Macaca mulatta: one gene and its partners. The protein of the gene in region 3 purifies or fractionates together with the protein of the main gene of each other region. This does not show direct contact. Links are inferred from orthologs where the notes say so. Each region holds a gene or a part of one and is shown on either strand. Other genes may lie near its edges. The genes, in order: PPP1CB, TOX4 and PPP1R10.

The links.
Region 1: the proteins of PPP1R10 (region 3) and PPP1CB purify together in Homo sapiens (affinity purification with mass spectrometry; 5 studies listed by BioGRID and IntAct, with this or other methods). This does not show direct contact. The link is inferred for Macaca mulatta from reciprocal best matches to the Homo sapiens genes PPP1R10 and PPP1CB.
Region 2: the proteins of PPP1R10 (region 3) and TOX4 purify together in Homo sapiens (affinity purification with mass spectrometry; 3 studies listed by BioGRID and IntAct, counting the BioPlex papers as one, with this or other methods). This does not show direct contact. The link is inferred for Macaca mulatta from reciprocal best matches to the Homo sapiens genes PPP1R10 and TOX4.

Annotation. Positions count from the first base shown.
Region 1 is NC_133418.1:96,184,474-96,192,014, forward strand, and holds part of PPP1CB (serine/threonine-protein phosphatase PP1-beta catalytic subunit), read right to left. Parts: intron 3,772-7,541; coding exon 3,620-3,771; intron 1-3,619. UniProt on the Homo sapiens protein: Protein phosphatase that associates with over 200 regulatory proteins to form highly specific holoenzymes which dephosphorylate hundreds of biological targets.
Region 2 is NC_133412.1:94,346,817-94,354,357, reverse strand, and holds part of TOX4 (TOX high mobility group box family member 4), read right to left. Parts: intron 3,656-7,541; coding exon 3,413-3,655; intron 2,524-3,412; coding exon 2,263-2,523; intron 1,948-2,262; coding exon 1,717-1,947; intron 19-1,716; coding exon 1-18. UniProt on the Homo sapiens protein: Transcription factor that modulates cell fate reprogramming from the somatic state to the pluripotent and neuronal fate. In liver, controls the expression of hormone-regulated gluconeogenic genes such as G6PC1 and PCK1.
Region 3 is NC_133409.1:152,435,940-152,444,277, reverse strand, and holds the start of PPP1R10 (serine/threonine-protein phosphatase 1 regulatory subunit 10), read right to left. Parts: upstream 4,190-8,338; coding exon 4,083-4,189; intron 3,410-4,082; coding exon 3,323-3,409; intron 3,161-3,322; coding exon 3,025-3,160; intron 1,850-3,024; coding exon 1,798-1,849; intron 1-1,797.

The DNA of each region.
Region 1 (7,541 bases), on a different chromosome or scaffold from region 3:
AGCACCATGCCTGGCTAATTTTTTTGTTATTTATTTATTTATTTATTTTTGAGACAGAGTTTCACTCTTGTTGCCCAGGCTGGAGTGCTACCGTGCAATCTCGGCTCACCGCAACCTCCACCTCTTAGGTTCAGGCCATTCTGCTGCCTCATCCTCCCATGTAGCTGGGATTACAGGCATGTGCCACCATGCCTGGCTAAGTTTGTATTTTTAGTAGAGATGGGGTTTCTCCATGTTTGTCAGGCTGGCCTCGAACTCCTGACCTCAGGTGATCCACCCGCCTCAGCCTCCCAAAACGCTGAGATTTCATGTGTCAGCCACTGCGCCCGGCCAATTTTTTGTATTTTTTGTAGAGACAGGGTTTCGTGTTTCACTGTGCTGCCCAGGCTGGTCACGCACTCCATGTTTTTAGTTCTTGGTTTGTTAGTTTGCTTACTTGTTCATTCTTTCAAATTTTCTTTTTTAAAGGCAATATTTGTAGAATTTGAGAGACAATATTTGAAAATAAGCACAATAGGAGGATTTTGGCAGTTTCTGGAAAACAGAAGACCAGCAAGCTAGTGTAGTTCAGAAACCTGATTTTTAAAAATCATCATTTATTTCTGAAAAGAGCAGTGAATAAAGATCTATGGCTGAAAAAAACTGATTATCAGGGGTCATTTTAGTTATGAAACTTAGCAATTCTGCCTTGTTATCTAATAAATAGAAGGCATATTTATCAAAATCATAAACACAGTTTTACTGATTTAAAAAACTGTTTGCTGGGCTGGGCGCGGTGGCTCACGCCTGTAATCTCAGCACTTTGGGAGGCCGAGGTAGGCAGATCACGAGGTCAGGAGTTCAAGATCAGCCTGGTCAACACAGTGAAACCCTGTCTCTACTGAAAATACAAAAACTAGCCAGGTGGGGTGGCGTGCGCCTGTAGTCCCAGATACTCAGGAGCTGAGGCAGGAGAATCACTTGAACCCGGGAGGCGGAGGTTGCAGCGAGCCAAGATGGTGCCACTGCACGCCAGCCTGGGCGACAGTGTGAGACTGTCTCACAAAACACCACCACCACCACCACCAACAAAATACTACTTTGCCAAACAACAACAACAAAATACTACTTTGTCAAAAGCAAAGGATGTGGGAACATGACCTCATTTCAACGGAACCACAAAAAAATCCTGCTAAATAAAAGTGGCATGTAATATACAATATGCAAAGAATGAAAAGCCAGGCACTTGTATCACTTAGGATCAAAGAAAGAGGCAGCAGCAGTGTGTGTCACGGGGAGTAAAGCTCCAGAAAAAAAGGGAAGTACTGTGGGACAGCATATACTTAATTAAATATGCTTTTATTAGTTAATTTATTCAACACTATGTGTGCATGATACAATATGCTACAATGTCAGCAACTGTACAAATCAACAGAGATTCAAAAACAAGTCGTAATCCCTTCCTTAGAGAGTATGCAACCTAGTGGTGGAGGACATAAAAGATAACCAAAAACCCTAAACTGTATAAATGTTTTTATAATGAAAAATTTCAAATATACACAAAAGTAGATCAAGAAGACTTGAATTAACTCCCATTAACTCATCAGCCTAATTCAATACCTTTCATGATTTTGCAACATTTGTTTCATTTATCTTCCCCCTCCCCCTTTCTCTCTGCTGATATTATTTTAAAGCAAATCTCAGGCATGTCATTTTACCTCTACACATTTGAGTATGCATTCCTGGAAAAACACAGACATTCTTCTTACATAACAATTAATGATTATGACACAGCTAAAATAATTGATACCGGCCAGGAGCAGTGGCTCACACCCATAATCCCAGCACTTTGGGAGGCTGAGGTGGGCAGATAACCTGAGGTCAGGAGTTTGACACCAACCTGGCCAGCATAGTGAAACCCTGTCTGTACTAAAAATACAAAAATTAGCTGGGTGTGGTGGCAGGCACCTGTAGTCTTAGCTAGTTGGGAGGCTGAGGCAGGAGAATCACTTCAACCCGGGAGGCAGAAGTTGCAGTGAGCAGAGATCGCGCCACTGCACTTCAGCCTGGGTGACAGACTGAGACTCGGCCTCAAACAAAAATAAACAATTAAAAGATTAAATAATTGATACCTATTACCGAGTCTACAATCAAATTTTCTTTTTTGAGACTGGGTTTCACACCCATTGCACGAGCTGGAGTGAAATGGTGCAATCTACACTCACTGCAACCTCCGCCTCCCGAGCTCAAGCGATTCTCCTGCCACAGCCTCCCAAGTAAGCTGGGACTACAGGTGCACACCACCACACCTGGCTAAGTTTTGTATCTTCTGTAGAGACGGGGTTTTGTCACGTTGCTCAGACTGGTCTCCAACTCCTGGGGCTCAAAGGATCCACCCACCTCAGCCTCCCAAAGTGCTGGAATTACAGGCATGAGCCACTGCACCCAGCCACAATCAAATTCTTCAATGGTCTAAAAAATGCTTTTTTAAAGTGTGGTTTGTTCTTATCAAAATCGCCATTATGCACAAAGACCATACAAAAATGAGGCTGGGCACAGTGTGCTCAGGCCTGTAATCTCAGCACTTTGGGAGGCCGAGACGGGCAGATCACTTGAGCTCAGGAGTTCAAGGCCAGCCTGGCCAACATAGTGAAACCGTGTTTCTACTAAAAATACAAAAATGAGCCAGGCGTGGTGGTGTGCGCCTGTAATCCCAGCTGTTCCGGAGGCTGAGGCAGGATTGAGCCTGGGAGGTGGAGGTTACAGTGAGCAGAGATCGTGCCAGTGCACTCCAGCCTGGGCAACAGACTGAGACTCTATCTCAAAAAAAAAAAAAAAAAAAAAGAAAAAAAAATCTAAATCATGTCTACAAAGCTTCAAAGCCTCACTGAAAATTTTGTTAGATTTGCTGTATACTACAAAAACACATTTTTTTTTTTTTTGAGACTGGGTCTGGCTCTTTCACAAGGGCTGGAGAGCAGTGGCATAAACATGGCTCACTGCAGCCTTGATCTCCTAGGCTCAAGCGATCCTCCCACCTCAGCCTCCCATGTAGCTGAGACCACAGGTATGCACCACCACACCCAACTAAATTTTTTATTTTTTTGTAGAGATGGGATCTCATTTTGTTGCCCAGGCTGGTCTCAAACTCCTGTGCTTAAGCAATCCATCTACCTCAGCTTGCCAAAGTGCTGGGATTATAGATGTGAGCCACCACGCCCAGTCCCCAAATATTTCTAAACATTTCCTCTTTTAGGGTGATAAAAGGTTAACAAATCATTAGATCGTTAAGTGTGAGATGCAGGAACTGGCTCTGCCGCCTCTCCTACTGCTTTCCTTGTACAACTCATTTAGGTTTCTTGGATATGTTTCCTCAAAACAAAATGAGAGGACTTATGTGAAGTTAACAAATAATAAACGTTTAAGAGTCCAGGTGTGGTGGCACACACCTATAGTCCCAGCTACTTGTGAGGCTGAGGCACGAGAATTGCTTGAACCCAGGAGGCACAGGTTGCAGTGAGCAGAGATTGCGCCATTGCACTCCAGTCTGGGTGACAGAACAAGATGCTGTCTGCCCTCCCCGTCTGCCCCCAAAAAAAGAAAGAAAAAAGAAAACACTTAAGAGTCTTATCTTTCATACCTGATGAGCTCGACAAATCAAATCTAAATCATGACGATTCAGAAATTTACTGACTACATCAGCTCCAAAAGTAAAGGAAACACCACGATCATTTTCTCCCCAGCCTTGCACATCCTTATCTGGATCAGACCATAGCAGATCACAGAGCAAACCTTTAAAGGACAGAAATACAGCAATTAAGAACAAAATTTACAGATTTATAGCACATCTACATCAAATTTCAGTTCCTCTCTGACCCTCTTACTTTTAACTAAACAATGACAATCACTTGCCCAGCCTATGTAACTCATATTTTTGTTAAAGCAACCATACAAATATAATCTTCCAGGGCCTCTTAAGGTAGTGCTTTCCAACCCTTTCCACATATAGGAAATATGTGTATGGCACTTATAGCACAATAATATATGGAAAACACTGTTCATCTTTTGTGTAGTTTCTCCATATGAATAACCAAAGAACCCAGCAGCATTTCCTCAATAGTTCATCCTTTCCTTACAGTTCCACTGTTTCTGAGCACCAGTCTATTCCGTTAGTCTATTTGATTCATCCCTGAGCCAGTAACAGACTAGAGCTTTTAAACAAGTCTTTATATTCGGCAGGGCTAGTATCCTCCATTTTTTTTTCTCTCAAGATTGTCTCAGTTACTTTTTGATCTTTTGTTCTTCCACATAAACATTAAAAACAATTTGCCTAATTCCATAAAAAACTCAATTGTGATTTCATTGGAATTGTATTTGATCTATAGATCACTTGAGGGGGAAAAAAAACCATTTTCTACTGAGGGCCTGAGGATTTTTTTTTAAATGTGGAAGAACAAAATCAGATCAGATCCTTCACTTTGGTAATGTCTGGAGCCTTGGAAAAGAGGTCACGGTTAAAAATATTTACCTGAGTATTGTTATCATATTAATGGTAATGGAAATCTTAAGAGGCACTCAGACCACCTTGGGAATACAAAGTGAGAAGACCAGTAAATGAATTCTGAGGACTCCAAACATTTAACAGGCAGGCAGGTGAGGGAGAATGAGCATAAGTATTGAGAAGGAATGATCAAGACAAAAGGCTTAGTAAAGGTATCCTGAAAGGGGAAACAACTGTCCTAAAGTAGGACATGTGCCATGAACAAGGGCAGTAGGACAAAGACCAAAAATGTGCCACTTACAATTAAATCATCAGAACTTAATGCAAGTTTCTTGGTGATTGAGGGTAACAGAGTGGGTAAAAGTCCAACTGTAGTGATATTAAAAGAAGGGTGGATGTTGAGATGATAGTGATTTTCTAAGAATTATAGTGGCTAAGATATATATATATATGTGTGTGTGTGTGTGTGTGTATATATATTTATTTGAGACGGAGTCTCAGGCTGGAGTGCAGTGGCGCAATCTCGGCTCACTGCAAACTCCACCCCCGGGTTCATCCCATTCTCCTGCCTCAGCCTCTTGAGTAGCTGGGACTACAGGCGCACACCCCACACCCAGCTAATTTTTTGTATTTTTAGTACAGACAGGGTTTCACTGTGTTAGCCAGGATGGTCTCAATCTCCTAACCTCATGATCCGCCTGCCTCAGTCTCCCAAAGTGCTGGGATTACAGATGTGAGCCACCGCGCGCGGCCGAGAATATATTTTTTAAAAAGTAAGTCAGTTTTAAGAATTTTAAAGAATCCATAAACATCACAGTATGGTTTAGGAGGGAAGGACATCTTCATTTTCAGTTACAGTACATCGTATCTTGACAGAGGCATTATAAAACCATCTGTAGAATTAGTGGCAATGTACTCAGTTTCTATCGTTGATATATCCCAAGCTTCCTGTATGATGTTTTAAGAAATTCACTAGCACACAAAATCCACTGGAACAGTCAGTCTCAAATCGTAAGCCCTTTCTGGTTGAAGCTGACTCTTTGAAAATATACACACACCCAGTGCTTAATAAAGCTCTCATACTTTCCAGCCTGTTTCCAGTAGAAAGCTAAGGTATTAAGAATCTATAATTTCAGTGTGACAATAACTGTATAAAATTAGAATACAGTTTAAGGTTTAGGAAATATGACAGTGTGGATGCATTAAAAAAATCAAATAATGGTAGCAACAACAATCTGGAATTCTTTAACCTTAACAGGGTCAAGATAAGAATTTCAGGCCGGGTACGGTAGCTAATGCCTGTAATCCTAGCACTTTGGGAGGCCAAGGTGGGCGGATCACCTGAGGTCAGGAGTTCCAGAGCAGCCTGGCCAACATGGTGAAACCCCATCTCTATTAAAAATACAAAAATTAGCTGGGCAGTGGCAGGTGCCTGTTATTCCAGCTACTCGGGAGGCTGAGGCAAGAGAACTGCTTGAAACTGGGAGGCGGAGGTTGCAGTGAGCTAAGATCGCGCCACTGCACTCCAGTCTGGGCAACAAGAGTGAAATTCCGTCTCAAAAAAAAAAAAAAAAAAAAAAAAGGTTTTCAGTCAAGGTTCATTGTTTAATGAGCTAGCATCGCAATCAACTAGACTGTTTCAAATAATGTATTAATTTATAAATTAAATTTCTGAATGTTGCAGACGCTATCAGAGATTAAAATAATCGTTTTCAGCATCTCAAAAACTTCTCATTAAAATATGCTAAAATAAAATATGCTAAAAATAGAAGCCTAGCATATCACACTTGAAATTTACATCTGAACTATAAACAAATTCTGAAGAATGACTAATACATATTTATATTATACCTTATTTTAAAAAAAGCACTTTGGGTGTTTTTTGAAAGACAGGGTCTCACTCTGTCACCCAGGCTAGAGTGCAGGAGCACAATCACAGGTCACTGCAGCCTCAACTTCCTGGGCTCAAGTGATCCTCCTGCCTCAGCCTCCTGAGTAGCTGGGGCACCACCACAGGTGGCTAATTAAATTTTTTTTTTCTCTCTCTCTGTAGAGGTGGGTGTTATGTTGCCCAGGTTGGTCTCGACTCCTGGCCTCAAGTGATCTTCCTGCCTTGGCCTCCCAAAGTGCTGGAATTACAAGCACGAACTAGTGCACAAGGCCTAAAAACAGCATTTTAAATAAAATACTATTTAAATACTAGTTTCTATTATATCAAGTCAAATGTATTCTATAATGACAATAAAAAACTGTGATAAAATGCATACTTTTAAAAATAATCAACACAAGTCGTGTTATGTAAAAAAGCTCAACGCAGGCCAGAGCAGTGGCTCACGCCTGTAATCCCAGCACTTTGGGAGGCCAAGGCGGATGGATCACGAGGTCGAGAGATCAAGACTATTCTGGCCAACATGGTGAAACCTCGTCTCTACTAAAAATACAAAAAATTAGCCGGGCGCAGTGGTGGGTGCCTATAGTCCCAGCTACTCAGGAGGCTGAGACATAAGAATCACTTGAATCCAGGAGGCAAAGCTTGCAGTGAGCTGAGATTGCGCCATTGCTCCCCAGCCTGGTGACACAGAAAGACTCTGTCTCAAAAAAAAAAAAAAAAGCTTATAACACAATTTATTACAACATACAGTGTATTACATGGCTACTGACATCAGAGGATCTATACCATTTATAATGGTTGATGTGTAGTGCTGAGTAGCATTTTTTGTGGTGGTTGTTTCTTTTTTTTTTTTTTTTTTTTGAGATAGTTTCACTCTGTCACCCAGGCTGGAGTGTAGTGGTGTGATCTCGGCTCACTGCAACCTCTTGTCTCCCGGGTTCAAGTGATTCTCGTGCCTCAGCCTCTTGAATAGCTAGGATTACAGGTACGCACCGCCATGCCCAGCTAATTTTTGTTATTTTTAGTAGATATGGGGTTTCGTCTTGTCTGGTCAGGCTGGTGTTAAACTCCTGACCTCAAGTGATCCTGACCACCTCAGCCTTCCAAAGTGCTGGGATTACAGGCGTGAGCGCCACTGCTCCCAGTCTTCCCACAGATTTCCAATGTAAT
Region 2 (7,541 bases), on a different chromosome or scaffold from region 3:
AGTTTTCCTCTTATATACCTGCAAAAAAGAGACTTTAAAAAAAAAAAAGACTCCCCATACTCCTAGGGAAGACTGATAGTTCTGTATTATTTATCAATGAATGACAATTCATCTTAGTCTAATCACTGACAACCCCTATCAGTGAATACAATTCTGAAAGCTAACAGTCAAGACAACCTCTATGGCAGACTCACTCCACTGAGCATATCTCTGAAAGACAACCAATCAACAGGAGTCTGGCAAGAATAGCTACTATTTATTTTATTTTTTCTGAGCCAGAGTCTTGCTCTGTTGCCCAGGCTGGAGTGCAGTGGCACGTTCTTGGCTTGCTGCAAGCTCTGCCTCCCAGGCCACCGCACCTGGCCTTTTTTTGAATTTCTTTTTCTTTTTTGGATTTAGACTCCTGGGTTCAAGCGATTCTCCTGTCTTAGCCTCCCAAGTAGCTGGGATTACAGGTGTGCACCACCATGCCTGGCTTGTTTTGGATTTTTAGTAGAGACAAGGTTTCACCATGATGGCCAGGTTGGTCTTGAACTCCTGACCTCAAGTGATCTGCCCTCCTCGGCCTCCCAAAGGGCTGGGATTACAGGTGTGAGCCACTGGGCCTGGCCCTCTTCTCACATTAAAAAAAAAATTTTTTTTTTGAGATGGAGTTTCATCCTCTCTCTTGTCTCCTAGGTGGCCCAATCTCGGCTCACTGTAACCTACACCTCCCGGGTTCAAGCAGTTCTACCTCAGACTCCTGAGTAACTGGGACTACAGGCAGCCACCAGCATGCCTGGCTAATTTGGTATTTTTAGTAGAGATGGGGTTTTACCATGTTGGCCAGGCTGGTCTCGAACTCCTTACCTCAAGTGATCCGCCTGCCTCGGTCTCCCAAAGTGCTGGGATTACAGGCGTGAGCCACCGTGCCAGGGCTTATTCTTAAATTCTTATAGTAAAATTATTACTGTGTGGGTTTAGGAGGTAAAGCTAAATACTACCACCACAAACAGCACAACAAAAGCCAAGAACAAACTAGAGGGTTTCACTCATCTATCCTTGTGATTAGCCCTTAGCCCTTCACTGTCACTAAGCAGAAGTGTGTAATTTAAGATGAAAGGGCTTGGCCCTACCAGAGCTTCTTCCACACATTATTTAGGTATTTTTGGGGCTGGGCGCGGTGGCTCAAGCCTGTAATCCCAGCACTTTGGGAGGCTGAGACGGGCGGATCATGAGGTCACGAGATCGAGACCACCCTGGCTAACACGGTGAAACCCCATCTCTGCTAAAAATACAAAAACAAAATTAGCCCGGTGTGGTGGTGGGCACTTGTAGTCCCAGCTACTTGGGAGGCTTAGGCAGAAGAGCGGCGTGAACCCAGGAGGAGAGTCTCGCTCTCTCTCCCAGGCTGGAGTGCAGTGGCCAGATCTCAGCTCACTGCAAGCTCCGCCTCCCGGGTTTACGCCATTCTCCTGCCTCAGCCTCCCAAGTAGCTGGGACCACAGGCGCCTGCCACCTTGCCCAGCTAGTTTTTTTTGTATATTTTAGTAGAGACGGGGTTTCACCGTGTTAGCCAGGATGGTCTCGATCTCCTGACCTCATGATCCGCCCGTCTCGGCCTCCCAAAGTGCTGGGATTACAGGCTTGAGCCACCGCGCCCAGCCGAAAACCTCTATTTTTATCTCTTTAAAAACTTTTGGAACATTCACTACTAGTTCCTTAACATTTGCTCACCTGTTTTTGCTCCTCTCCAAGACTATCCCACATGGAGGCCACAATTTTTGAAACCTCACCAAAAGTGGCATTAGGATTCTGTCCCTTGATGGCAGCCTGTGTATCACGAAAGAATAAAGCATATGCCGAAACTGGTTTCTGAGGTTCATTAGGATCTTTCTTTTTTCTCTTCTTTGGGGCCTTCTGCTTTTTCCCTGCTTCCACCACCACTGTCTTCTGGCTGGGAAGTTGCTGTTAAGAGAGAAAAAGAATTACACAATGGATGATGACAAGTATTATGTCTGGAAACTAGCCACATGTATGGAATTTTCAGAAATGCTAAAAATCATGGAAATAGCGTTAAAAGACACTGGTCAAGTATGGAGAACCAATAAGAATAGGGATTGAGAGAATTATAAACTGGAAATTGGTAGGTGGAACCCCATACCCAGAAAAGAGCAGAGGAGATGGCATGGTAAGGCTAAAGAATACTGATTAAGCTCTGTATCCCAAGAATTTTATCCTAGAATATCACAGCAGAATTGATTTTGGCAGGGAATGCCTCACCCTCCGGAAATCCTCAACACCATCCTCATGAAGTGAACTAGTAGGTGAAGGCGTGGTTGAAAGACGATCTTCAGGTGACTGGGCAGGTGGTAGGATGGTGCCACCCCCTAAGCTCAAACCCAGTTGGGAACTCAGTTCTGACTGATCAATGGTGGTCAACTGGCTATGCCCCATCAAGCCAGATGTCATGTCTGTCATTGGTACATCAATTGTAACAGGTGGGTTGGCACTATACTGAGTTCCTATAGAGTGGTCCAAGTCCTGAGAGAAGCAGAAGGACTAATTAAACAGTAAATATAAAAAAACACCACTTTCCCCCCTAAATTTAAGATAGCTTATAAATTCCCTGCCTACCCAGATTGTATCATTTAAAATACAAAACATAAAATAGTCTTCAAAACTGAAAATAAAAACATAAGCTTTTTTAAAAAGTACAGAAATTAATGAATTTACTTCTTTGCACTCTAAAGAAGAACTAAAAATAATCAGAGAAGTCATACTGTTGGAGAAGTTAAAGAGCTATCAACTTACTCAGTAATCTATAAGTAGGGACAACACATTGAGTAAAGAAAAACTTCCTGTCTGTACCCTCCCAAAATAATAGCTTTTAAAATAATACACAGGCAGTCAGCATAAATAGGCCAATATTACAGAAGTTTGGCATCAAATATAGAGTGTGAAGATGTGCTACTGGTTTCATGTGCCAGAAGCCCAACATACTGATTTATATTACATAGTAATCTACAATACTATATTTGACTCAGACCTTTTTTTTAAAAAAAAGCTCTGATCTGCTGGCTTCTCAACATGATTCAGACCATTTTTTAATAAATCCCTCCACGTGCCAGCTATCACATTCAAATTTGAATCCTAGGATGTGAAGGTCATAATAAAAGCAGAAAACACTTTCCCAAAAACCACAATAATTTTCTAACCAGACATTGTACAATTTTAAATTATTTTTCAAGTAAAATCTACCTACATGGTAAATTTCATTTATTCAGGTGAAACTAAGTCTTTGTTGGTGAGCCTTTAGCCACAAGAAGACACACAAGTAATACCCAAGTGTAGTAGGGAATACAGTAACTTTTGTCTCCCCTAATGCCATGCCTGTTAGCTGGGGTAAGCCTGACAATCTCTTGCCCCTTACCATGGTCAAGCCCCCACTCAGGAGCCCCCCGCCCTGCTCCATCAAGCCATGGGTCATGCCCACAGGCATGTCCAATGTCTGGACCCCATACTGGGCTGAAAAACTGCCATCCTGTGAAGAGGAAGGGTCTGCCAGGTCATCAAAGTGGCCAACCACATCTGAGACAGCCAATGAGGGATCAGAATCCAAGGAGATAGGTGGGATTTCAAATTCCTCATCTCCCAAGCTTGGTGTATGGAATGTCTGTAGGGAAAAAAGGGGGAAAAGAATTAGCGAAAAGAGGAGAAATGGCATACTACTAAGTGAAGAACATAATGGGGTACTAGAGATTCTCAGGGTACATTTTTTCTGCTTAGGATCCTATTTTATAATCAATTTCTTAGAACCTATTATTTTTACCAATCTCTCTTCTGATACCCTTGGTCACTTGGTGCATTCAAGGCTGCTAACATCAGTCACAATTTTCAATTCTTTTATCTCTTTTCTACCATTACCACTCTTTTGTCCTAAATTATGCCTATTGTTCTAATGAAAAATTCTTCCAGTACCATTACTTAGAATACAGCCTTTATAACCTGCTTACTATGATCCTTGAAATCTCTCTAAAGATTCTAATAGAGCAGTTATTTCACAATTATTACAACTAAACTGTTAGGCCACAGAAATTTGCTGTCAGCCAGCCAATTGTACTTTGTTGTTTTAGGTTCCTTTCAAACAGATGCTAAAATGTACTGTCATGGAAACTTTATCCCCCTCTAAAATATTTGCACTTAGAGTTTCCTACTTCTTCTCCACTTTAGAAATTATAATGTTAACAACTAAAAATTCCCATTTGTTTTTTTTGTTTTTTTTTGAGACAGAGTCTCGCTCTGTCGCCCACGCTGGAATGCAGTGGCTCGATCTCCACTCACTGAAAGCTCCGCCTCCCGGGTTCAGGCCATTCTCCAGCCTCAGCTTCCAATGTAGCTGGGACTACAGGCGCCCACCACCACGCCCGGCTAATTTTTTTGTATTTTTAGTAGAGACGGAGTTTCACCGTGCTAGCCAGGATGGTCTCGATCTCCTGACCTCGTGATCCACCCACCCTGGCCTCCCAAAGTGCTAGGATTACAGGCGTGAGCCACTGCGCCCGACCAAGATTCCCATTTGTATACGATTTTCAGAAAACCTCAACAATGCCAAAAATGCTAGTCTTGCTGAACAAGCTTCTCTCTAAGAGAGGAAAAGGATTACTCCAGCTGGCTAAAGACCCAATCTCTTCCTGTGAGTCCAACTAGGTCAATAATAATACATTCTTTCTCTTCTGAATGAGGCCACCACTCATGCAGCTAACAGACCAAGATATGATCTAAGATATGTTAAGTGCTATGGTTCTGTTTTGACACTGAAATCTAAATGGTGGCATTTGCAACAATAGACAATTATAAATAATAGCAAGAGACTGCTATCAGAGAGACCTGGGTACAAGACCTTGAACAAGTTTTCTTCATCTGTAAAATGGGAATTACAATGGTAATCCCCTTATATGGTTATTATTAGGATAAGTGAGATTTCATGCATAAAAGCTTAGCACATTGCCTGATACATATAATGGCTTAATAACCATCATTAACCATTGTTATGAATAATATCCTAATAATGATTCCTTTGCCCCCTACCCCAACCAATTATCACAGATAATTGGAATTTTAGAAACTTTAAATTCTATCAATCTAACACATAGCATAGTAAATATAAACTGATTCAGATCAAATTCAATTGGTACCCACTTTTTTTTTTTTTGTAATTGAACAATGCATTCTTTAAATAAGAGTTCCTAAAGGTTTCATTTTTTTTTTTTTTTTTTTTTGAGATGGGGTATTGCTCTGTCACCAAAGCTGGTCTGTAATTCCTGGGCTCAAGCAAGCCTCCAGCCCCAGCCTCCCAAGTAGTTGGGACTACAGGCATGTGCTGCCACACCCAGCTAATTTTTAAAATTTTTTGTAGAGACAAGCTCTCCCTGTGTTGCCCAGGCTAGTCTCGAACTCCTGGGCTCAACTGATCCTACTGCCTCAGTCTCCAAAGTGTTGGGCTTACAGACCTCAAGGTTCCTCTAGATCCTGAAAGGTTCTTCTATTATGACCATTTCTGTTTTTTTTTTTTTTTTTTTTTTGAGATGGAGTCTTGCTCTGTAGCCCAGGCTGGAGTGCAGTGGCGTGATCTTGGCTCACTACAACCTCTGCCTCCAGGGTTCAAGCAATTCTCCTGCCTCAGCCTCCCAAGTAGCTAGGACTACTACAGGTGTGTGCCACCATGCCCAGCTAATTTCTGTATTTTTTAATAGAGACAGGGTTTCACCATGTTGGCCAGGATGGTCTTGATCTCTTGACTTTGTGATCCGCCCACCTCGGTCTCCCAAAGTGCTGGGATTACAGGCACCGGCCACTGCGCTTGGCAGTTTTATTTTTTTTCTTTTTTGAGATAGAGTCTCCTTTGTCACCCATGATAAAGTGCACTGGTGCAATCTTGCTCACTTCAATCTCTGCCTCCCGGGTTCAAGTGATTCTCCCACCTCAGCCTCCCAAGTAACTGATACTATAGGTGCATACCACCACGCCAGGCTAATTTTTTTTTTTTTTTTTTTTTTTGAGACAGAGTTTCACTCTTTTTGCCCAGGCTGGAGTGCAATGGCATGAACTCTGCTCACCACAACCTCCGCCTCCCAGGTTCAAGCAATTCTCCTGCCTCAGCCTCCCTAGTAGCTGGGATTACAGACATGTGTCACCATGCCTGGCTAATTGTGTATTTTTAGTAGAGACGGGGTTTCTTCATGTTGGTCAGGCTGGTCTTGAACTCCTGACCTCAGGTGATCCGCCCTCCTCGGCCTCCCAAAGTGCTGAGATTACAGGCATGAGCCACCCCGCCTGGCCACGACGCCAGGTTAGTTTTTGTATTTTTTGTAGAGATTGGGTCTGGCCATATTGCCCAGACTGGTCTTGAACTCCTGGACTCAAGCCATCACCCTGCCTTGGCGTCCCAAACTGTTGGGATTACAAGCATGAGCCACAGCGCCCAGCCGCCAATTCTGGTTTAATGAAGACATTAGGCTAGGAGCGGTGGTTCACACCTGTAATCCCAGCACTTTGGGAGGCCCAGGTGGGTGGATCACACGAGGCCAGGAGTTCGAGACCAGCCTGGCCAACACAGTGAAACCCATCTCTACTACTAAAAGAACAAAAATTAGTCAGGCATGGTGGCACACACCTGTAATCCCAGGTACTCGAGAGGCTGAGGCACGAGGATCGCTCGAACTCAGGAGTTGGGGGTTGCAGTGAGCCAAGACTGCATCACTGCACTCCAGCCCGGGCGACAGACCAAGACCATGTCTAAAAGGAAAAAAAAAAAAAAAAAAAAAGAAAAGAAAGAAAGAAGAAAGAAAAAAGAGAAAAAAAAAAGGCTAGGTGCGGTGGCTCACGCCTATAATCTCAGCACTTTGGGAGGCCGAGGCAGGTGGACCACTTGAGGTCAAGAGTTCGAGACCAGCCTGGCCAACATGGTGAAAATCCATCTTTACTAAAAATACAAAAATTAGCCTGGCGTGGTGGCGGGTACCTGTAATGCCAGCTACCTCAGGAGGCTGAGGCAGGAGAATAACTTGAATCCAGGAGGCAGAGGTTGCAGTGAGCCGAGATCGTGCCACTGCACCCCAGTCTGGGTGACAGAGGGAGACTCCGTCTCAAAAAAAAAGACATTGCTAGAAAGAAAATTTCCAGCTAGCAGAAACTAGGGAGAAAAAAGTATGCCTGTGAAATGCCCAATCTCTGTGAATCACATTTGTAAAAATTTCCTAAAAGACAAAAAGATATACATAGTTTCATTTCTGTATTTTCCTTCTCCTTACTATTTTACTTGGTATGGTAAAAAATTTGGTCCTTGTCTGAGATATAAGCAGCATGCGGAGCATAAGAACATGCAGTTCTCAACTGGGAGTGGTGGCTCACGCCTGTAATCCCAGTACCTTGGGAAGCCAAGGAGGGTGGATCACTTGAAGTCGGGAGTTCGGGACCAGCCTGGCCAACATGGAAAACCCCATCTCTACTAAAAATACAAAAATTAGCTGGGTGTGGTGGTGCACACCTATAATCCCAGC
Region 3 (8,338 bases):
AATGTAAAATATTCTTCCAGGAACAGAAAATGGGAGGTTTGAGAAAATATTGTGAAAATCTATGTAATGGAGAAAGTAATCCAAAGTTTTAAGAAGAACATGAGATATGCTTAAAAACCAAACTCCTAAAAAATGGAACAATGAATTAAGAGTTGTGTTCTACTCAAATAACTTTCAACTCTGATGTCATCACACCACTCTGGAGTAAAAAGACCTAATATTTATTTCAGAATATGTGGTTAAAATCTGCATTAGTAAAAGACTACACATTGGGTGCCATGTACACTGCTCGGGTGATGAGTGTACCAAAATCTCAGAAATCACCATTAAAGAACTTATACATGTAACCAAAATCCACCAGTTCCTCAAAAACTACTGACATTTTTTTAAAAAGCTACATTAGTTGCTTTACGTATAACACACCTAATTGTTACAACAATCTGAAGACTTTTTATTTTCCTTTATAGATGTAAAAACAAGCATAAAATTTGTTTCTAAATGAAAAAATACTTTTGTAACTCTTTCCTTTTGTACTTGGCAAATAACATCTCTGATCTATGGCACCTCTCTTCTGGCCAACATTTCCACTTAGAGACGTATTTCATAATTTGTCATTTAACAGTAAGATTTTCACAGAACACTAAAACATAACTTTTTGAAACAGTCATACAATTAGCAATTTCTATACCTAAGCCAACATGAACCTCAATGCAGGAATATCCTAAAATCTTTCTGGAGTAACTGATAACTATGGTTCCGGTGAGACTTAACTACAACCGACAGGGAATATACAAATTTCAATATCTAAAGGCATGATGGTAATTAAATATATATTTAAAGAGAGCAACACAATTAAGCCAGTTGGAAATAGATCACTGCTCACTTGGTGGGAAACTGGTATCTTGTGTGCCCGGGTAGAGATAAAGGAAACTCTAAATTTCTAAAGGAGACAGGCTTTGTCTTCAAGACAGAACTATATGGTCCTTGCCAGAAGCTCCACAACTCTTTTAGAAAAGGAAAGAATCAGAGCTTTGATATATTTCTTTTTTTTTCTTTGAGATGGAGTCTCGCTCGGTTACCCAGGCTGGAGTGCAGTGGCGCAATCTCGGCTCACTGCAAGATCCGCCTCCGGGTTCACGCCATTCTCCTGCCTCAGCCTCCCAAGTAGCTGGGACTACAAGCGCCCACCGCCACGCCTGGCTAATTTTTTGCATTTTTAGTAGAGACGGGGTTTCACCTTGTTAGCCAGGATGGTCTCGATCTCCTGACCTCGTGATCTGCCCGCCTCGGCCTCCCAAAGTGCTGGGATTACAGGCGTGAGCCACTGCGCCCGGCGCTTTGATATATTTCAAGAGTCAAGATTTTGCCCATGTCCTACAGGAATATGTTTATTGGTAGAACTAGTACATCTACTGTTAGGAAAACAGTTATTAAAGTTCCCAGAATATGCTATAGTTAGAAAAACAGAAGTGAAAGATGATGAGACACGCTAGGATGATACTATTTCCCACAGTGAATTTTAAGTGTATGTGTTTTATAACAAGCAATCTTAGGAATCAGCTTCCAGTTAAAGTATGGCGCCTTATATTCAGCAACAGAGAAATGAACAACTTTGGAATTGAGAACAGGAAACAGGGTACAGGTTAGAGGAACTTTCTCTTTAAAAGAAGGAAAAAAAAAGCAAGGTGACACAGAAAGAGAAAAGTGAAGCGACAATCCAAGGATGGGAAAAGATATTAAGGTAATGAAGTGGAAGTAATAGAGAAAAGCCCATGAGAGAGCAGGAGCGGCACCTACCTTCATCCTCACTTGACTTGCTCAGCTGCTTCACCAGTTTAGCTGTGTTGTTCTATGAGAAATGGGAGCAACAGAAAGGTAAATGCCAGGAGGCAAATAATTCCACTTAGAGCTAAAAATGACAAAAGTTACAATGCTCCCCCCCACCTTTTTTTTTTTTTTGAGACGGAGTCTCACTGTCTTGCCCAGGCTAGAGTGCGTGGAGCAATCTTGGCTCACTGCAGCCTCAATCTCCCAGACTCAAATGATTCTCCCACCTGAGTCTCCTAAATAACTGAGACTACAGGCATGCACCACCACCACCACATCTGGGTAAATTTTAGTTTTTGTAGAGACAGGGTCTTATCATTTTTGCCCAGGCTGGTCTTTAACTACTGGGCTCAAGCAATCCACCCACCTCAGCATCCCAAAGTGTTGGGATTACAGGTGTGAGCCACCACACCCGGCTGACACATTCTTTTTTTTTTTTTTTTTTTTTTTGAGACGGAGTCTCGCTCTGTCGCCCAGGCTGGAGTGCAATGGCGCGATCTCAGCTCACTGCAAGCTCCGCCTCCTGGGTTTACGCCATTCTCCTGCCTCAGCCTCCTGAGTAGCTGGGACTACAGGCGCCCGCCACCACGCCCGGCTAGTTTTTTGTATTTTTAGTAGAGACGGGGTTTCACCGTGGTCTCGATCTCCTGACCTTGTGATCCGCCCGCCTCGGCCTCCCAAAGTGCTGGGATTACAGGCGTGAGCCACCGCGCCCGGCCTGACACATTCTTTTTTTTGGGGGTGGGGGATAAGTCTCGCTTTGTCACCCAGGCTGGAGTGCAGTGGTGTGATCTTGGCTCACTGCAACCTCCACCTCCTGGGTTCAAGCGATTCTCCAGCCTCAGCCTCCTGATCAGCTGGGACTACAGATGCATGCCACCATGCCTGGCTAATTTTTTGTATTTTTAGTGGAGACGGGGTTTCATCGTGTTAGCCAGGATGGTCTCGGTCTCCTGACCTCGTGATCTGCCTGCCTCGGCCTCCCAAAGTGCTGGGATTACAGGCGTGAGCCACCGCACCCAGGCGCCACACACCTATTAAAGGAGATAAATTCAAACCAAGTCTTCTTATTCTAAATTATTTTTCTGCCATTCTATCTCACAGGCCCAAGATCACAGCCAACATCAGTCAGTGTGAGTTTTCATCTGTTAGACGAAACCAAAAAAAGAAGAATCAGGGTTTAAAGACTAAAGGTACCTGCTTGAGATGGTCTACAGTGAGTGGTAGGTGCTGCAGGGTCAGTAGTATTTGCTGGAGGAGGGGAATGTTGTTGGTTGTCTTTGAATACGTCAGCCAATTGTTAAGAAGTTTGTAGCCACCAACGTCAATAAACCTGCAGGCAGGCAGGAGAGTCTATCAGTAACGCCCTTTCTAGGTTTTGAAAGTACCACATCCCACGATCCCAGTCTCCCATCAATGCCCCTGGAACCCCATGCCTCACCACCCCATCTTTTAGCTACATCTTCCCATTCCAACCATCCAGATCCCCACTTACTTGATCAGTATTTCTGGTGAACGGGTCTGCAGGAGAATGTTCAAGTAAGTGCATCGACTCACCATCTTTCGTGCTTCCTTCATCAAACTGCAGGATATGAGTGAGGGTTAGAAATGAAGCAGCCAGTATCTCTTCTCTTAGCAAAAGCGCCTCTCTAATCTGTGAACTGCCTAGAGATTCCTGATGATTTGGGACTTTGCTCCAGAGAGGGGGAGTCACATATACCTCTAGGAGGATGGGATGGATCCAGTGTAACATGGAAACTTATGGGAGAACAGAGACACCGAAGTCCCTGACCTGGGGAGGAGAGCATCACTGCCTCCCTAACACACAGGATGAATGTCATTCTGCCCCCAGGTGATACGGCTAGCCCTCAACAACTGTCCCTAATAATCTGTTCAAGACTGGCTTATTTACTCTCCCCTGAACCTGAGAATCCCTGAAAGAAAATAACATTATAGGTAGGTGGAACATGAACCTAAACAATCTAGAATTCTGTTACCAGGCTACCCTGCTCTCATTCCAACATATGACTCCCTTGGGACTGTGGACGTCCAAATCTCCAGCTTCCGCTATGGTCAGAAACCAAGTGATCATCTTTTCCTATCCCTTACCCTAAAATTGTTAGATTTTAATCCTATTGCACTGACTGTCTTTCCCTTTCCTTTCCAGGATCATTCCAGTCTGCCTCAACTGCAGCCATATTTTAACACACAATATTCTCTACTCACAATGAATCCAAAAAAGGGTAAAGACTCACCTGAAGATCTTGGAAATCCCATCCACACTTTTGACTTCCCCATCTCGGTTAAGGAAGCTGTCCAGGCCCTTGAGAAGTTCTTTGGGGTCTATGGGACCAGAACCCATGATGGTGGTTTCTATGGTAAGAGGACAAAACAAACAAACCCACAGAATAAATGGGTGGCAAGGACTACCCGAGTAGGCCCTCTAATAAACCACATCTCTACATCTGACAAAGTATAGTGACTATTCAACTATGCTATTTTTTAGATATGAAAAATCAACACAGACCACTTGCCACTACCGAGAAAATAGCCCTAGCAAGTTAAACATGGGGAGCATATGTGACTGAACAGGAAAGCAATTCGATTGGAGGACTAGAGCAGCACACCTGTCCCTCCCTCCCAGTAGCATCCTTCCTAGGATGGCTGAACTTCACTAGATCGTACTAGAGCTAAGATTCAGTTCTCATAACAAGATGTTCAACTCTCCAGGGCATTTGTACCTATTGTTAAGTCCTGTCTTCCCTAGTTGCTGAAAAATCTGGCTTGAAAAACAGCCTATAGCTTGACAGAAATTGGGCCAAATCTTGGGTGTTTGAGCTAAATGTCTTGTAAGAGTTGATTCCTTTTTATCTTAGCCCATTAAGAGTCATAATCACGACATAAGGCAAGATATCTATCAGCTGAAGTGGTAGATGATAGAGAACAAAACAAAACTTGAAAACAGAATCCTTCCCTAAGGAGATCTGGAGGTAGGTGCCAGATATTGAGACAAATGGATGCAAGGAAATCAAGCAGGTCCTCCTAGGCCTTGAATAGACTGTCACTCATTAACCAAACACTGCACAAGTTTTTACTGTCTCCATGTTAAACGGAAGCTAGTGGTTTGTGCTTTCAAAAGCAAAGATGTAAATCTGGTCCTCTCCTCAAAAATCACGCTGTGGATCCCCTAGGAAAGCCTAAAACTGAAAACCATGGAAACTAAAGAATGGAATAGATAAAGTCAAATGCTAGAAAAATTCCCTTTTAAGCAGCTGTTTTAGACCAGGTTGGAAAAGGAATTAGTTAAAAGCTAAGCTCCTTTTATGGGACAGGGCAGAACTGAAGTTCCAGAAAGGTAATTTACAATCAATATTGTTCTGATTGGGATTTGTATCTACACTGCCTCTAAATACTTGCTTCTAAGAACCAAAAAAGAGGCCAGGTGCTGTGGTTCACGCCTGTAATCCCAGCACTTTGGGAGGCCAAGGTGGGCAGATTCCTTGAGCATAAGAGTTTGAAACCAGCCTCAGCAACATGGCGAAACCTCATCTCTACAAAACATAAGCTGAGTATGATGGTGTGCACCTGTAGTCCCAGCTACCCAGGAGGCTGAGGTGGGAAAATGGGAGGACCGCTTGAGCCCAGGGACATTGAGGCTACAATGAGCTGTGATTGTGCCACTGCACTCCAGCCTGAGCGACAGAGTAAGACCCTGTCTCAAAAACAAACAAACAAACAAAAAACCACCAAAAAAGCAAGCCATTTCAGCAATATCTGCCTTTGGGCAATAAGGCCAACACTGGGTAGCAAGGAAGAGGCAAGAACAAAACCTTCCTCATCCTACATCTAGCACAGAGGTAACAGACACAATCCCCGCAGAAGGGTAGAAAAATCAGTATTTTACAAAGATGAGTATTTTTGTGCCGGAAAAAAACATAGGTTTCTTGTGAGATAATGCAAATTAATTCTATTTGTTCTCAAACAAAAGAAAAAACATAAGCATAACAATCTCAGCCTTTTAGTCCTCCCAACAAAAAGGTCAATAAATTTCCAAATGTGGAGGTCCTAACAACCTAGGCGAGCAGCAGCAGAAGCAGGGAGGAGGCAGCCAGGAAGGGAAGCAGTATAATCTTGGCTCTGGCGGTCATAACCTGTGGGCCGAACAAAGGGAGAGATGAGGCAAGAAATGTTGAGAAGTCACTGCTGCCCTGGAACCTCTACAAGTACAAGTGGAACCTGAGGTCAGAGAAAAAACATTCAAGGAGAATACTGGAAAAGATTAGACGTTCGTGGGCCAAATCCACTCAAGTATGGTGATCCTTACACAGACACAGAAATAAAGGTATTCTTCCCATGTAGTGAGATAATATAAAGTGATCTATAGAAACTATAAAGAGATATGATAAAGGGACATATAAAACAGATATCACATCTGTTGGAGACTGGAAAAGCAATGTATGGGTTCCAATAATAACATAAGCAATCAAGAGACTAAGAAATTTTTAAAACTCTATATATACACACACATACCTACCATTAGATTCCCAAAGCAAAATATATGCAACTTGACAAAAGGCCTTGAATTAAACATCATTTCAAACCAGTTCCCCTTGACTTGACTGGTTCAAACCCAGGGCTGAATATATACAACCCTGGAGAATTCCCTTTGGCATATCCAACTGCAAGCTAAACCAATAAATAGACCAGCTACCTCTATTTCCTTCAGACACTAAATAAACTGTCATCTGAGCTCAAGTGTTCCTTCAGAGGATGGGAGACAAGACAGAAGAGCCAGTCTTAGAAAAATGGACCAATGAGTACAAAGCTAAATTCTGTCCAGAGCCCTCTGCTGGGAATGGGATCCAAGGACTTTTTTATTCCCATTTGTATAAACAAGAATAAAAAACATTAATAGTCAAAGGAAAGCTAAGAGACAAAGCAAAATTAGTGTTAAACATTCATTTTCCACTACTTATATTTTGGAAATATAAGTGAAATTTTGTCTCATTAGCACCAATCTTGATAAAATATAAGTGGGTTTTCTCATGATGGCCTTCCTTTAGGCAGATTCATTCTTATTTAAAATTAAGGACCCTAAGTGTCTTATAACCTAGTTTCCTTACTTGGAAGTCAGTATATTTTGGGAAAAAACCAAACAAGCTCCAAGGCACTGAAGTGGGAAGGAATGTAAAGTCCAACATTCCGGGCACAGGGCTACAGCTGAGAAGGCAAACTGAGTTGATGAAGGAAGGCAGGGGCTGTGACTAAGTGTTGTAACATTACCTACTCAGGATCTGGAGTCTAGAATGAAAGCTTGAGAAAGCTTTCTGGAACCACGAATAATCCAGGGCATGATTATGTCTTTTTTTAGTGAGCTGCTATTTCCTTGACTGCAGAACATACAGAAGGTGGGGAGTGAGGGAGCAACCCCCTGGCCTACGTAGGTCCACCTCATCCTAAGCTATGCTTTCCTTATGGAGATGTTTCAGGCAGAGCCATACTCTACTGGCACAAGGCACTGGGGAATTTTCTACCACTTTTACCAGAGATAAACGTCTGTGACACCAACTCCTGCCTTCAAAATGAATTTTACTTGAGGGCTATTCAAATAAATAGGGTGAAAAAATATCCAGCATAGCTAAAGTTATTCCACATCCATCACCAATGAACAGGACTGAATTGGTTCAGGATAAAAATTCTGTGCAAGTCAGAGTTCTTTAAAAAATAACTGTCTTCTAACAAAAGGAGAAAAAACTCCCAAATTTACCTTAATTTAGAGGCACTTCTGGAAATGAAAATGATTTGTACCTAACTCATGTTCCCCTTCCTTTCTTCAGTGTTTTAGGCATTTCCTAGTTTGACTCAATAGTGGACTGAATTATGTCTCTCAGGTGATTCATCACAAGGTCATAGCTTGCTTCCAAGTAGTAAGCCCCTACCCCTCAAAGTCATTTTGCAAACCTGATACATGAGCTCCTCAAAAGCTTATCTGCCTTTCAATAAAGATGCAAAATGATACACCACCCCAACTCATAGAAAAAGACCCCAGACTGGAACTCTGGCCACAAACTACAAGGATCAGCTTTTCCAAGATTCTCTGAATGGATGTGGTTCCCCTAGTAGACCTTGCTTCCCATCTCCCATGTTAAGGAAGATCTTCTTTATTAATCCCCTGGCTCACTAGATATCAGGAACCCCAGTGGGTAGAATGTTCAGCTCCCAAGGAAGATATGCTGCAGAGGCACATGGCAAACTGCTTAAAAGAAAAAAAACAACAAAACAAAACAAAAAAAACTTGTGGTCAATAGACATGTGGAAGAGTCCCTCCCATCCAATCCAGAAGTTTAAGTAATAATTTGAGAATCTGTACCCAGTAGAAAATTAGCCCTAAGTCTCACCCACATCACCACAGGGCAGTTGTGCTTTCCAATTCTGCCTAGAACCTCCACGCTTCAGTGCAGGACTTTTAAAAATTAAAATTATATGGAGAGTCTGATAAAGATTTGGCTTT